Linked DNA regions of Alligator mississippiensis. The protein of the gene in region 1 interacts with the protein of each later gene in a pairwise test. Links are inferred from orthologs where the notes say so. Each region holds a gene or a part of one and is shown on either strand. Other genes may lie near its edges.

Region 1 (6,980 bases):
GGCTTGGTGGCACCAAACTATCTAGCACCACAAATGAAAGGAACCTGGGGGTAATAATAGACCACAGTATGAGTATGAGCTGGCAGTGCGATGAGCCAGCAGATGCTGTAGCCAGTAGGACAAATAATACTCTGGCATGCATCAATTGATGCATCTCCAGCAAAGACAAGGAAGTGATGCCAAAAATGCCTCCACCTTTCCCTGTACATTAAAATCATGGGATAAGAAGCAGACTTCAGCCAGGTTTTAGCCAAAAACCTAACTTTGTCAGATGTCACTGTTGACGGGAAAGCTTTAAAAAAAAAAAAAAAAAAAATGCTCAACTGTTTTGAGATGTACAGAGCATTTTCTCAGGCAGTATCTGGTTGCTGTAACTTTATGGGTTGCTGGAGCCTGTGTGCTGTGGAAGGCTGACACTAGCAATCCGGCTTCCAGATCCCATAAGTGATGTAGAAAACACAACTCAGATGCATGCTTGGTAGCAAAAGCTCAGAAACGTTTGTTGTCAGACAGAACACCAGCTGGTCTGATTAACCGCTAGTCCAATCTGGAGAAGCAGACTGGTAGAGACCCCATACGTTATTCATGCACCCCTAGGTCTTTCTACAAGGAATGCCTCTCAACTCCTATATTTATACTTGTGTCTTCTTCCCCCACCCCCATGTCATGCCCACTCTTTTCTCTCCCTCTCTGTTGAGATTCATAGACATTAGGGTCCAAAGGAACCCTCAGTAGGTCATCAAGTCTGACCCCACCCTGCCCTGGGCAGGAAAGAGCGCTGGGGTCAGAAGACTCCAGCTAGATGCTTGTCCAGTCTCCTCTTGAAGACCCTCAAGGTAGGGGAGAGCACCATCTCCCTTGGAAGCCCATTCCAGATTCTGGCAATCCTTACTGTGAAGTTCTTCCTAATGACCAACCTAAATCTGCTCTCCGTCAACTTGTGGCCACTATTCCTAGTTACTCCAGGGGGTGAAAATAGAGCACCTCCTAGTCCCTGCTGCCCTCCCCTGATGAATGTATAGGCAGCCACAAGATAACCTCTGAGCCTTCTCTTGCAAAGACTGAAGAGATCTAGGTCCCTCAATCTCTCCTCATAGGGCCTTGCCTGCAGGCTTCTGACCATATGAGTGGCCCTCCTCTGAACCCTCTCAAGATTCTCCACATCCCTCTTGAAGTGCAGCACCCAAAACTGGATGCAATACTTCAACTGTGGCCTGACCAGTGCTGCATAGAGGGGAAGCATCATTTCCCTGGGCCTGTTTGTCATGCATCTGCTAATGCATGATAAAGCACGGTTAGCTTTATTGATCACTTTATCACACTGACAACTCATGTTCATCTTGGAGTCAGCTACGACTCCAAGATTCTTTTCCACTGCTGTGCTGCTGAGGTCATCCTCCAGCCTGCAAGTGTGTTGGTGGTTCTTTTTGCCCAGGTGCAGCACTTTGCACTTGTCTTCGTTGAACTGCATCCTATTTTGTTCTGCCCATTTTTCCAACCTGTCCAGATCTGCCTGGATGCATTCCCTACCCTCTGGTGTGTTAACTTTGCCCCATAATTTGGTACCATCTGTGAACTTGGACAGGGTGCTCTCTACACCCTTGTGCAAATCACTGATTAAGACATTGAATAACCGGTCCAAGGACTGAGCCTTGTGGGACTCCACTGCCTACATCTTTCCAGGTCAATATCGACCTGTCCACCACCACTCTGTGTGCAACCCCTAAGCCAATTTGCTACCCACCTGACCATGCAATCATCTACATCACAGCCTGTCAGTTTATTTATGAGAATGGAATGTGATACCATATCAAAGGCCTTCTTAAAGTCTAGGTAGATGACATCTATCACGACTCTTGTGTCTACCCTTAATTATTCACCCTTAATTATTTTGGGGGGGGCAGACAGAACTGCAGCTCCCACCTGTAACTCAGAACCATTTTTGCAAAGTGTTCAGAGTTACACTGTTAGTCCAGACCAAACAGAAGTTCAGTTTGTTCCAGGGGGAGGGGAATCTAGCTGTGGCCTGCGAGCCTGCAGCCAGGTTCCCATAGCAACAGACTCTCTCTCTCCCTGTCTGTCTGCCAGTGCTCCTTCCAGAATGGGAAGGGGGGAGGCAGCGGATGGGGCTGCCTAGCTGGTGCTGAAGGGTGAGTGAACTGGAGCCCCTCCACCTCAAGGGAGCTGAAATACACTCACCCCATGGTGGGGGAAGGGGGCTGAACCCCCCCCCCCCCCGACTGAACTCCATCTGCCCCCTTTCCCCCTCCCTCCCATTCTGAAAACAGCAACAGGCTGGGAGCTGGGCAGACAAGCCACAAGAGATGCTAGTCTGTAACATCTTTATCTGACACCTCATGCAATGACAGATCAGATTTTCACCCAATGGGCTTTCTTTTAAGTTGTTTGCAGCCATGCCCTTGTGTTTGGTTAGGGCTATAAATTGCTTTCTGTGGCCGGACTGGTGGAAAATCATCATTTCTCTTTGCACCCTTTGTTTGCCAAGTTGACACATCTGCTCTTACACTTGTTCAGGTGAGATATTAACTAATGCAACTGCTGCTGTTGTGCTCTTTTGGGGTCTTTCTGCTTGTTACAGCAGCTTTATGTATTTCTTTCTAGCTCAACCCCTTTCTGCTGCTTTCCAGCACTTTGGCTTAACAGAGCTACAGCTTGGCACAGGGGTTGTCAACTAGGGGTATGTGTACCCCTGGGGGTACTCGAGCGGTACGCACAGGCAGCCGCTGTTTGAGCTTTCCCCACCCCGCAGGGGTGCGTGGCCAGGGGAAGCTTGCACGTGGGGGCTGCTGCCACTCTGCATCCAGCCACACGCCACCCCCCCACTGACATCCAGCCACGCACACTCCACCGCAGCCAGGGGTACACTGCTCTGTGTCTAGCCACCTGGGAGGTTGTACAACAATCAAAAAAGGTTGAAAACTGGAAGGCCTATAAAGATATTGTCACTTTTTATGTGACCAAGCCAAAAGGGAAAAAACCTATTGGAGGACAGAGAAAATATTTGGGGGGTAGGGGGGGGTCGAGCACACGTTTATGTGTGCATGCACCCCCCCACCAGTTTGTGGGTCTGTCATGGGGAAGGGCATGGGGGGAAGGGCATGGGGGGCAGATCAAAGCCCCTGCAGGGAGGGAGAGAGTGGGCCAGACACAGGGTTGAATGCGGCCCCGCGGCCGGGGCGGGTCGTGGGACACTCGGAGCTCGGGCGGCTCGTCCAGGGGCGCAGGGGCACTGGTACAGACTTGTGCCCACGGACAAGCCGCTTGAGCTCCGAGCATCCCACAACCCGCCCCGGCTACTGTCCCTCTTCCCCCCCGCCGCGGGGGCCTCGATCTGCCCCTTCCCCACGACACAGCTCCGCACGCCGCTGGCTACGCGTCTGTCGGTTCGCGCCCCGCCCGGGCTGCCCCGCGGCCCTGCCCCGCGCTTGGGGGCGGTGTGTCCCGTTAGCCCCGGCCTCCCGCCGCCGCGAGAGGAGGAGGATGGCGACTCGGATCTCCCCGGCCGCGGCCGAGCAGCGCCCAGCGCAACGCACGCCCCGTCCCGCCCCTGGGCGCTGCAGTTGGCATCCCGGGCAGTGGTCCTACCCCGGAGCCGGTGCTTCCGACCAGAGTGAGGGCAGCGCGCCCCGCCCCGCCCCGCCCCAGCCCCAGCCCCAGCCCCACCCCTTTCCCTTATCCAACATGGCAAACAGCCCTACCTCTCCTCCACGTACCGCACCTCGGCTCCTGGCCGCTCCGCTTCCGGCCGCTTCACTTCATTGGCGAACGCGCTCTGGACAAGACACCCACTGTGGCCAATGAGAGCGGACGCCGAGGAGCCTTTTCTCGGTGCCTATTGGCTCGTATCTCCTTGCCCCGCCCCTTACGCCTGTTGTACGCAACGTGCGGGGCCTCCCCGCGCCGGTAGGGAGTGCTGGCCGCGTGACCAATCAGCGCAGCACGTTTCAATTTCCGCCCATCTAAAGCCCGCCTTCTTTCTTCTGCACATGCGCTGTTGCTCCGGGCACATGCTTTCCCTTAACTAGCAAGCTGCAGTGATACGCATGCGCGCTCTCGGTGGTTTGTTGCGGCGGGCTGGGTTTAGTTAAGAGTCTGGGGCGTTGTGGAGCTGGGCCTCGAAAGGTTTAATGCTTCTTCTCTCCCCTCCGGGCTTCGCCGTGCAGGAGGCTCCGGGCGGTGACAGGTACCGCGCGGCGGGGGTGGGAATGGGGCGGCTGCTGTTTTATTTTCAGGTCAATATGGTATAGGCATGTATACATATACATGTTATATGTGTACACACGCACATGCTTTTATAGTCTTGTGTGTATGTTTGCTGATACATACATATGTGTATCTGCATATATGTATGCATGTATTAGGTGTGTTTGTACATTCTACGTATAGCATATGCTGTAACTCACTTCATCAGATGCCGAAGGCCTGACCAGCCGGCCACCAAGCACTGTAACCTTCTGGGACCTTGGAGCAGCAGTTTGTAAACAGCTGGCTTTAAAAAATGACCTGAATGTTAAATTGCAGAACAAGGAATCACCTTCAGCCTCGTGGGCCTGGGAGGGGTGAAGCCGGGTCTCAACAGAGACTACGGATTTTTCTTCTGTTGCCTGAACAAGCTTTTATAGCCCCAGTGGTCCTCAAAGAGTGAACTGCCTTGTTGATCCCTATAGACTTATTCAGCCTACCTCTCTCATTAGTGCCTCCTCCCTTTATCCTTTGTATTCAAATTCCTTTCGATTCAGAAGATTTATTTGCATCTTGTAAATTTAACCAAAGCATATGTCTGGCACATGCTTTTGTGAGATGAAGTTCACTTCATCAGATCTTACTAGCATTTGCCAATTGCTGTAAAGTTGTTTTCAATATTTTTAATCAAATCAACAAAAATAAAGAAAATGTTTGTGCTATAGCATTGCAGCCTTGGCAGCTTCTTTGGTAACATCTTGTTCCAGTGGATACTATGCAAACTCTTTTTTTAAATTTTTTATTTCTAGAGGAGTGGACTACTTTGATCAAAGGATGAAAAGTACTTGTGCGAGTTGAAGAGCGGCATCTCGGAGAGTTTACATTACAACGATAAAGCACTGCTGATGAGAGAAGATGCATGATGTTTAAAATTACTAGCCATCGCTGGAAATGTTGTCCGCAACTCTGTAGGAGAGCAATATAATAGATTGGGGTGTGCAGTTATAGGGCAGCAAGTCCATAATGTTGTTCTCCTTCATTAGCCTGGATTTAGTAACATTAATATTCTAACTAAATTCTGGATGCATGATACGTGTGTACAACTACTCCAAAGGATGGAACAAACTAAAAGTAAGCTTTTAAAAATACAGCATTTTAAGAGACGGCTAGCTCTTTTAAGGGAATTTTATCACATTTTTAAGAGTGAACCTGGTAGGAATGATAAACTTTCCCTTTGAAACTGGTCACCCATCTAGAGCAGTGGTATCCGATTCATCTGGCCCCATGGATGCAGAGTGTGGAGCTATGTCATCTGCCCTGTGGGCCTTGAATTTGCCGGTGGTTGTGTTAGTGCTTAATTGCTGCAACTCTCAGGGTCTTGGCAGCTGCTGCTTCTCCTGCCATCAAATTTCCAGCCCTGTGGAAAGCTTTGCAGGCCAGATGATGCAGCTCTGTGCTCTGGATCTGGCCTGTGGGGTTCACCGTGGCTTCAGAATTTGGCAGCAGGACAAGTATCAGCATTGCAGGAGAGGCAGGTTGAGGGACTAAGGACTCATCATTGGTTTTCTGTTTTAAACAAAAAAGCTTTCTATAAGCCATATCTAAGGAAGAAGGGATGCTTGTGGTACTATATAGGTTAGTAAAAAAATAATGTGAGAAACAAACATTGAGTTGGACTGGTCTGAAAATGTTTATGCATTATTTTTTCTAAAAAAATACACTTAGTAGCATGCAATAATCGTTTTGTTAGTTGAAGTAAGATCATGATTATATACAAATTAGAAGCTTTTTAATAAGAACTAACATGACCAATCCAATTGATTTAAATTATTCCAGCTAAGTTATCATTGAGGTGCATAAAACTGAAAAAATTGTTCAGAAGAATATTTTATCAGGAAAAAATGTAACCTTCCTTTGGTTGTCCTTTCTTTTTTCAACTTTGTGTGACAAGGTATTAATGGTAAACGTTCTCTTTGAAATTGGACACCCATGTTAGAGCAGTGGTATCCAGCTCATCTGGCCTCCCAGGGTGCACAGAGTGGCAGGAGCCCTCCCACCCCCACATCCCCTGGACGAGCAGCGGCTCCGTTCCACACCCTGCCCTGGCTGGGCAGCACTTGCCACAGCCCCACTTCCTCCCTCACCGTGGGGGGCCTTAATCTGGCCTCCCCCCCGCCCCTTCCACCACAACAGACTTACCAGCTGGCCATAGCTCTTGAAGCTGCCAGGCTGTGCTTCGTGCATATGCTTGGGCCATTTATCAGCCACAACAGGCTGATTTCTGATACAGTCAACTTTTTTTATGTTGGTGCTGATCCAACATCAGACTGATGTCGGTGCACTACTAGCTATGACCCTAGTCTTGCGATCTCTGGGCTGTCAACTGTGCACCTTAGTGCCTGTGCCACCCCATCCTCCTCCTTTGGTGGTGCCCAGATTTAGAAAGGAAAACATTTGAGTCCCTGCTAAAGGTCTTTCTGGTCATTGCTGGACTCTGGTTGGGCTGAAACTCAAGCCCTACTTCTCTGTGGGTGAGGAGAACTATGCCATTAATCACCAGCACTTGTTTGATAATCCATCAGAAGCTTTACTGACTACAGAATTATCCATTAAACACAAAGCAATTAATCAACTAGGGTTGACCATATACAAGTATTCAACTCTACTGGGATTGCCAGAAAATAAACAGGCAGTTACAAAAACTGTGTGTGTTAATGTGACTCCTCACCATGTCTCACTCTGTCTGGAGCTGTTACTCAAGAGGCACTCCCCTCAGT
Region 2 (7,349 bases), on another chromosome or scaffold:
TACATATTTGTCCTAAAACACTGTACTATCAATTTATTGAAGTATTGGCCACTTGTACCCTAGAAGAAAGAACTCTAGAACTATTGGGGCTGTCACATCAGACAAAAAGATAACCACCCCAAAATTATAATCTTTCAGGAAGAGGAAAACTGAATATTTCATGAAACATCTAGACCAATATAAAAGAAAATGACACCAACTGTCTAAGACTCAATGATTTCCTGATATGAAACAGATAAGTTAATAGGTTCTCTTTTTTTTCTTTTTTTTTTACAAAAGGCTGTGTAAAGCCATTGTTTGGAGCTTTTGCAGCAGAAATCCCCTTGATTGTAATGCTTTAGAGTTTTCCTAAAAAAATAAGTGCATTTGAAATTTAGTTTCATAATTAGAATGTAATTATGACTATGCATGGCTGTTATAATTATGTCTTTTTATATACACAATAGCTTAGTGGTCTTTTGCATGACAGATGTTTCCAAAATCAAATTATTTGTGGGGGCACCATTTTTAGCGAGCATGAAAGCCATTTCCAGTGCAAAACTTCTAGCCAGTTCTGTACATAATTCCCTACTAGTTTCAAGACAGATTTATCCTATAGAGCAACAGCTTTTACTATTGTTTATTATTATATTCTATTATTCCTAACTCCTTATTTATTTAAATTCCATGAGATGTGCAGGATCCCCAGCAATAGTTTTGGATAGCATGGAAACAGTGACGAATATTACACCATACAGTACTGGTTCTCAGCCTTTTTGCATTCAGGGCACCCCTCTATAACATTTCTGAATTTGGTACCACCCTGGTTGAGAACCACTGTTCCACAGCCTAAGTTTATTTCAGTGGTTCTCAACGGGGGCTTTGCAACAGCAGCTGCAGCCATGGCCAAGTGGAACTGCCCAGATCAGAAAGTGGCTGTGGTAGGTGCATGAGCTCCTGCCTGCGTTAGGGTTATCTGGTGGACTTCATACAGACAGGAATGCCCACTTCTGCTGCAGTCCTTTCTGACATGACCACCCATGCTCCTCCCAGAAACAGAAGCACATGGGTAAGCCCCACCTGGCGTCTGGCAGCCTGGAGATTTATCCATGTGTTTTCTACGTTTCTCTCCAAGTTGCCATCACCAGGTGCAACTGCCTCATGCAGAGTAGAAAGGGAAGCAGAAGAAATGGATGTTCCCGCCTGCATTAGGTTTAAAATTCTCATCATTAAAGACCTTTGAATTAGGATTATCTGATAAACATAAGGCAAGCAGGAGAGTCTGCTCCTTCCCCAACCTCCTTCCCATCTGGCTCTCAGGCAGGATTTATTGACTACACTGGAGGAAACAGTCTACATGCAGAGAAATAACTGTTAAATGTCTGGAGTAAACTATATGTTGCCTCCCTTATATGTTAAGAATTTTAGCTTTTGAGCGAAAGCAAATGACATTCATGCTTACGGTGGTGCCGCTTTAAAGTGACCATAAACTCTTGGTTGTTTCTAGAACAGATATACAAAGGATACAAAAACTGTTCTTTTTTCTGTCTAATATTTTTACCACTAATATTTTTACTAACATTTGTCCACCATTTTGGTCTTCATTCCTTGATAGAGAGTGTATGCTACACTAATTATTTCCTTGAGTATTTTAAACTTCCTAATAACCGTTTGAGCTGCTTTATTATTATTTTTTTTTTTTTTTTTTTTTTTTTACCCCTAGGGGAACCTCTTTTCCAAATTCCTTTGGAGATTTCATATTACAAATTACATTTAAAGAAGAGACGGATAAATACCACACACTGAATCAAATCATTATGCAAATGTCCAATACTTATGCAGTAACTTTGACATTCACAAAAATATAACTTCAGGCTAGATATAACAAGCAGTATGTGGCTAAGATAACAGCACAGGCTTCGTACTAGGGGTGCTTTTGTTTCTTGTCTCCTTTCCAAATAAGTGAAATATTTCTGAATAACTCTTACTCCCCATACAGCACGTGAGCTGGGCAAAACAGAGAACTGAGATAATTTAAACAACTTTTCAAGCGTGCAGGTTTGTCAAAGGCTTGAATGCTCGGAAGGTGCACTCGAAATAAACGATTAAAACCACTCGCTATTCCCCTAAGCCAAGTTTACTTTGAGAAACTGTCAGCTTGTCAACTGCTGTCCTTGGCAGGCATCCATACTGGCGGCCGAGGGCATCACTTGCAGCGCCAGCTGCACTCATACTTTGAGGAAGCGCCTTCACTGCGCCCTTCCACAATCACACGTTTACAGGAAGCACGTTACAGTCCTCGCTCAACTGATTTATAGGCGCATCCTTGGCACAAACGCAGAAGCAGATGGCTTTTCAAGCTGGAGAGGGAAGAAATAGACACGGTTCTCTTTTTTTCCTCTTAGAGCAGCTTTCAGCTCAAACGGAGCGAATCGCAGGATTTCCCAGAGCGGAGTAGATGTGGGCTCCTCTTTTTTATTATAATTTTTTTTCTTTTTAAGATTTGCATTCGCAGGTGCGGCAGCTCCTAGTCGGCCCTGAGAAGCGTGAACAGACAGAGCGAGGCGCGGGCCCACGCGGGTGCTCGGCGAAGCGCTGGTGAGAGGCAAGGCTGGAGGCAGCGTTACTGGGGGGCGAGCACGCAGCTGCTGAAGAGGGACAGGAGGCGGCAGGGCATGGAGCAACAGCTCAGCGGGGCAGGCACAAGCGACAGCGGGCGAGCAGGCGAGACGTGACCCCGCCCGCTCCCCCCCCTCCCTCCGCCTTGACGTCACAGGGGACGCAGAGGGGGGAGGGGGAAGGGAGCTCCCAACCGCCACCCCTCCCCCACTCCCACCCTGCGCCGTACCTTGCCGTAGGCTTTCTTCCGCCCCTGCCCCGCGGCCCCGGAGCCGGACTCGCGCGTCCCCCCCACGACAGCCGCGGTGCTTGAAGCCGCCATTAAAACTTCGTCCCCCTTCCGGCTGCGGCCCACTGGCGAAGCATAGAGAGAGCGGAACCGCCAGCAGGGCTAGAGCATCGTTTCCGTTCCAGGGGGTGGAGCCAGAGCCGCGCTGACGTCACCAGTTGCCCGTGGGCTCCCTCCTGGGGGAAGCTGCGCGCGCAGCCCCCCTCTGCAATGAGGGTGGAGCCTACCGGGGCGGAGGGAAAGCTAGTCCGCTGCGCCTCGCCGTGGGCAGCGGTGGGAGGGGTGAAGGGTAGAGACTGTCCTACAGTTACATTCGATGCATGGAAAAACAAAACAAGTTTATATATTTTTCCATGTGTAAAACTGTAGTATTGGGGGAAGTCGTATTAAATGGAGGGTTGTCTTAGTTTTGAGTAACACCGTAACTAGTTAAGTCTCTAGTGGTGCCTCTTTAGTGGGTGTGTCTAGAGGAGCCGCTTAGCTTAATAACGCTGTGCAGTAGTGTGGTGGTTAAAAACCATGCAAATAGCATACTGTGCAGGGTTATTAGGCTCACGTGCAGGAAACATCACAAAATAACCATGGGCTACTAGTACTTTATTAAGCAAGTGCTAAACTAAACGTGCAGTATCTAAATGACCATGTAGATGTGCCTGGTTTCAAGCACATTTATGAGAAAGGAACATGGGTTCAGGGGAGTGTGTGCTCTCTCTGTATGTTATATAGCTAGTCTTTAAAGGTGCCTGTGTACCCTGCCATCTGCCAGACTGCAGGCTAACAAGTCTAACTACCTCTCCCTATTTTCTAAAATCATCAACTATGCGCACAGCTACAGCCATTTATGACTATTTGTTTTCTCTGTTATTCCTGATTGGGAGGTGCTTGAGCAGCAGTCCTAATTGCCGATGGAAGCTTCCAAGTTTAGTCCATGCAAATGTGGCCCTGTCGTGTAGAAAACCACCTTGTGCCTCAAATCAGCAATGATTAGAATGGAAAAACTACAGTGGGACTACTGTGGAGGGCTGCAGTGTGCTGTTGTCCCTTAAGCCAGTGTTTCCCAACCTTTTCCAGCCCAAGGCACACTTACATTAATAAAAATTTTCCATGGCACACCAGTTAAGGCATTCCCCATCCTCATACCTGTTGTAGCCCATTGCCATGGCAAAATTTCATGCCACATCTGTTCATTTTTGATGGCACACTTTTGTGCTGCACCACACTGGTTGGGAAACGCTGCATGAAACCACTGTTGTGCCCGGTACTCATAGCCTGTTGCAGGGTTAGAGAGGCTGCTGCTGTAATGTAGGCTCTGAAGGCCTGCCCAAATTACAGTATCCCAAATTAGAGGTGTACGCAAATTAGCTGTTAGGCATGACTGTAGTGCTGTCTGACCAGTGCGCTTTTAACACCCAGGCTTGTGAAGAGGTCCTTCAGAGGTAGCCTTCTGTTGTGCCTGCACTGAGGGAATCCATGTCTTGCTGCACCAACATTTTTATACTGTGAAGGGCTGGAGTAAGGCTGAAGATTTCACTCATAATATTGATTATACGTCTTCTTCGTCTTCTTTTGTATGGCTGATGGAGATATAGAACAGCTACTATAATTTTACATTTAGGTGGCTGAGCCAGAAAGTTGTGTCAGGAGCAGCAGAGTATATTGCTGTGATGCCTCCTTTATATCTGTGGATCAGACATTGAGTCGTTATATGTTCCATGGTCTGTTCTGAGTGACCACAGTCACGCAAGGGATAGTTTCTAATTTTCCATTTGTGTATCAAGTATCCACATCTCCTGTGTTTTGTACAGATATGGATTAGAGTTGCCCATAAGCGTCGTGGGAGATCAAGCCTGGACATTTAGCGTTGAATCTATCACAAGATGTTTATTTGGATCTTCCTGTGAATTCCATTTGGTTTTCCAAGCTTCATCAGCATTGAAGTCTTATTGTTGAAGTTTAGGCGCATGGATCCAGAAAGGCTTGTACAACTTTAGGCAATGGTGAGGTGCATTGTTGAGGTCCTGGTGGATGGGGAGACGTTTGTTTTCTTTAATTTGCTGGACAAATGGGTGGAGGATCTTATTATACTGATGAAATCCAACACTCAAGCTGAGAAGTATATAAAGAAATGTGTTGGTGGAAATATTAAATAAGGGCTCTGTCACAGTATGCAATGATACCCACAATGGCTACCTGAGGCATGGATCTTATTGTGAAATGTTAAACTCCCTTTTCATGTTTGTGGTGGCCAGTGGCAGATCCAGAGGGGATGCAGTAGCACAGATGCACTCCTCTTTCAGTTGGCATTGTGGGAGTAGCAGTCTGGGACTTCTTTACATTTCTGAAGCAAGTAAGAATTCTCCTCATCCCTTCTGTGCTCAGGGCCCCCTGTGCCCCACAATCCACCGGAGCTGTTGTCCATGGCTGCTTTGGGGCTGGGGTGGCTCCAGAACCACTCCTGCCCTGCTCTAGTCAAGCTTCGTGGGTAACCAGGCTCAGCTTGATACAGTAGCAATGGGCAGATTTCTCCTTCCTGCCCAATCCTCTGGGTGCTCCTTGCCAGTCTGGGAGTAGGCTCAGAGAAGGAGAACCCACCCATTACTGCTGTTGTCCCTGTCTGAGCCATGCTGTCCATGCAGCCTGATTGGACTGAGACAGGAGCAACTCTGGAACCTCTCCCAATTTAGTCAGGGGATGTGGAGAGGGGAGAGTGAGAGGGGAAGAGAAGTGCTGCTGAGCATGGAATGGAAGGGAAGGGACTGAGAGAGGGGAGGGAAGATTTTTACCAGATTGGGGGATTTAAATCTCATGGGGTAGTCCACCTGCCTTGGTTGGAGGATGAAGCCACACCTCCAGCACTGGTTGCTGCTTCTGCACCCCTTTACCAAAATCCTGGATCCACTTCTGGTGGTGGCAGATTCTATCCAAAAGAATGTAGTTTGGCAAAGAAAAAAAATTCAAAGCTGCATTTTCTGGTAACTATTCTTCATCCTAATTCAGGGGTGGGCAATTATTTCAGGTGGAGGTCCATATACTGAGTTTTGGCAAGCCATCAAGGGCCACATGACAGGCAGCCAGGGGCAGATAAATATTAATTTTCTAATTTTTTTAGGGGCCCCGTGGGCCAGATAGAATGGCTTGGTGGGCCGCATCTGCCCCACAGAGGGCACATTTTGCCCACCCCTCTCCTAAACTGAACTTTCAAGAATTGGAACCAACAAATAAGGCTAATTTGAAGTTTCTAGTCTTATTGTTTACCACTGTATGCTTAATTGCGTCATATCAGGAGAAAATAGGACTATATATCCTGCTGTAGAATATCAGTAAGAATAAATCACATAGCTGAAGAAAAGAAATTAATAAATTGATGCTAACACAGAACAGCAATAAAAATGTATTTAATTATGGGCAGTCCTTTCCTTACATAGCTTCTACATTTTAGGCAACATTTCCATTATTTCCAGGACTGGTTTATCTAACTAATTACCAAACACAAATGGTGAAGAGACTTTAGGATCTGATATACTGAGTTTGATTAATGTTTTGCCGATGTAAATCTTAAGTGAGGCCTACAGTATCTGACCTTAAAATACGTAGATATTTTGAGATATCACACACATAGATACGGATTAATGACTGAACATATTTGATAGACACTTGGCTTTTCAATGCTTTCTGTAATCAAGTCCAAAAATATATATTTATGAAATTTAAGGGACTCAACATGGTATAAATTCTATTTTCAATTACATGTGTAGAATCTCTCAAGGGATGTGTCTCTAGTGGGTTATGGAATAGAGAAAATCCCACACAATTTACTGATTTGTTTTGATGCACTGGCTGGGGGAGTAGTTAGTTGATTGCACGATTTCACAATGATTGCACACTTAATTCGTACAACACAATTTTATTTTAAAACTCTTTGCTATGTATATAACACTGCTTAGCTTAGAAATACCACAAACATTAAGAACACAATAACTACATATATCAGAAACAATGCTCCAAATGCACTTCCTTCCCAAACAATGCTGTAAGAATGAGTATTACAAAAACAACTGCAATTACAACTAAAAGTTAAATTTGAATCAATACTATTATTTTTCATAATATACTTACAATCCTAGAATTCCGAGAAGCCAAACACCTAAATACGGTTTCATTCCTCAGTAGTACAATTTAATGGGTTGGCCTCAGTAGTACAGTTCAATGGGTTCGCCTCAGCAATACGATTCAATGGGCTGGCCTCAATACTGATAGGACTAAGTCCACTTCTTTCAGTCCCTTTCGGGCACTCTGCAGCTTCAGCGTGAACTAAGAGATTCGTGTTCACGGAGAGGGTGGTTCAGGTGATCAATCTGATCCGGCCTACACTTGCGATTCTTCCTTCGTTGTTCTGCAAGTATAGTCACCTCCAAATTGGGAGAGTAAGTTACAGTTTTTATTGAGTGAGTTACTGTCAATG

The links.
Region 2: the proteins of SETDB2 (region 1) and ARL14EP interact in binary tests that used the Homo sapiens proteins (3 or more experiments, as listed by UniProt). The two-hybrid records come from large-scale screens. The link is inferred for Alligator mississippiensis from reciprocal best matches to the Homo sapiens genes SETDB2 and ARL14EP.

What each region holds. Positions count from the first base shown.
Region 1 is NC_081824.1:414,414,299-414,421,278, forward strand, and holds the start of SETDB2 (histone-lysine N-methyltransferase SETDB2), read left to right. Parts: upstream 1-3,959; 5' UTR 3,960-4,204; intron 4,205-5,012; 5' UTR 5,013-5,285; coding exon 5,286-5,334; intron 5,335-6,980. UniProt on the Homo sapiens protein: Histone methyltransferase involved in left-right axis specification in early development and mitosis. Specifically trimethylates 'Lys-9' of histone H3 (H3K9me3).
Region 2 is NC_081825.1:207,226,650-207,233,998, forward strand, and holds the start of ARL14EP (ARL14 effector protein), read right to left. Parts: upstream 3,009-7,349; 5' UTR 2,828-3,008; intron 2,340-2,827; 5' UTR 2,121-2,339; intron 1-2,120.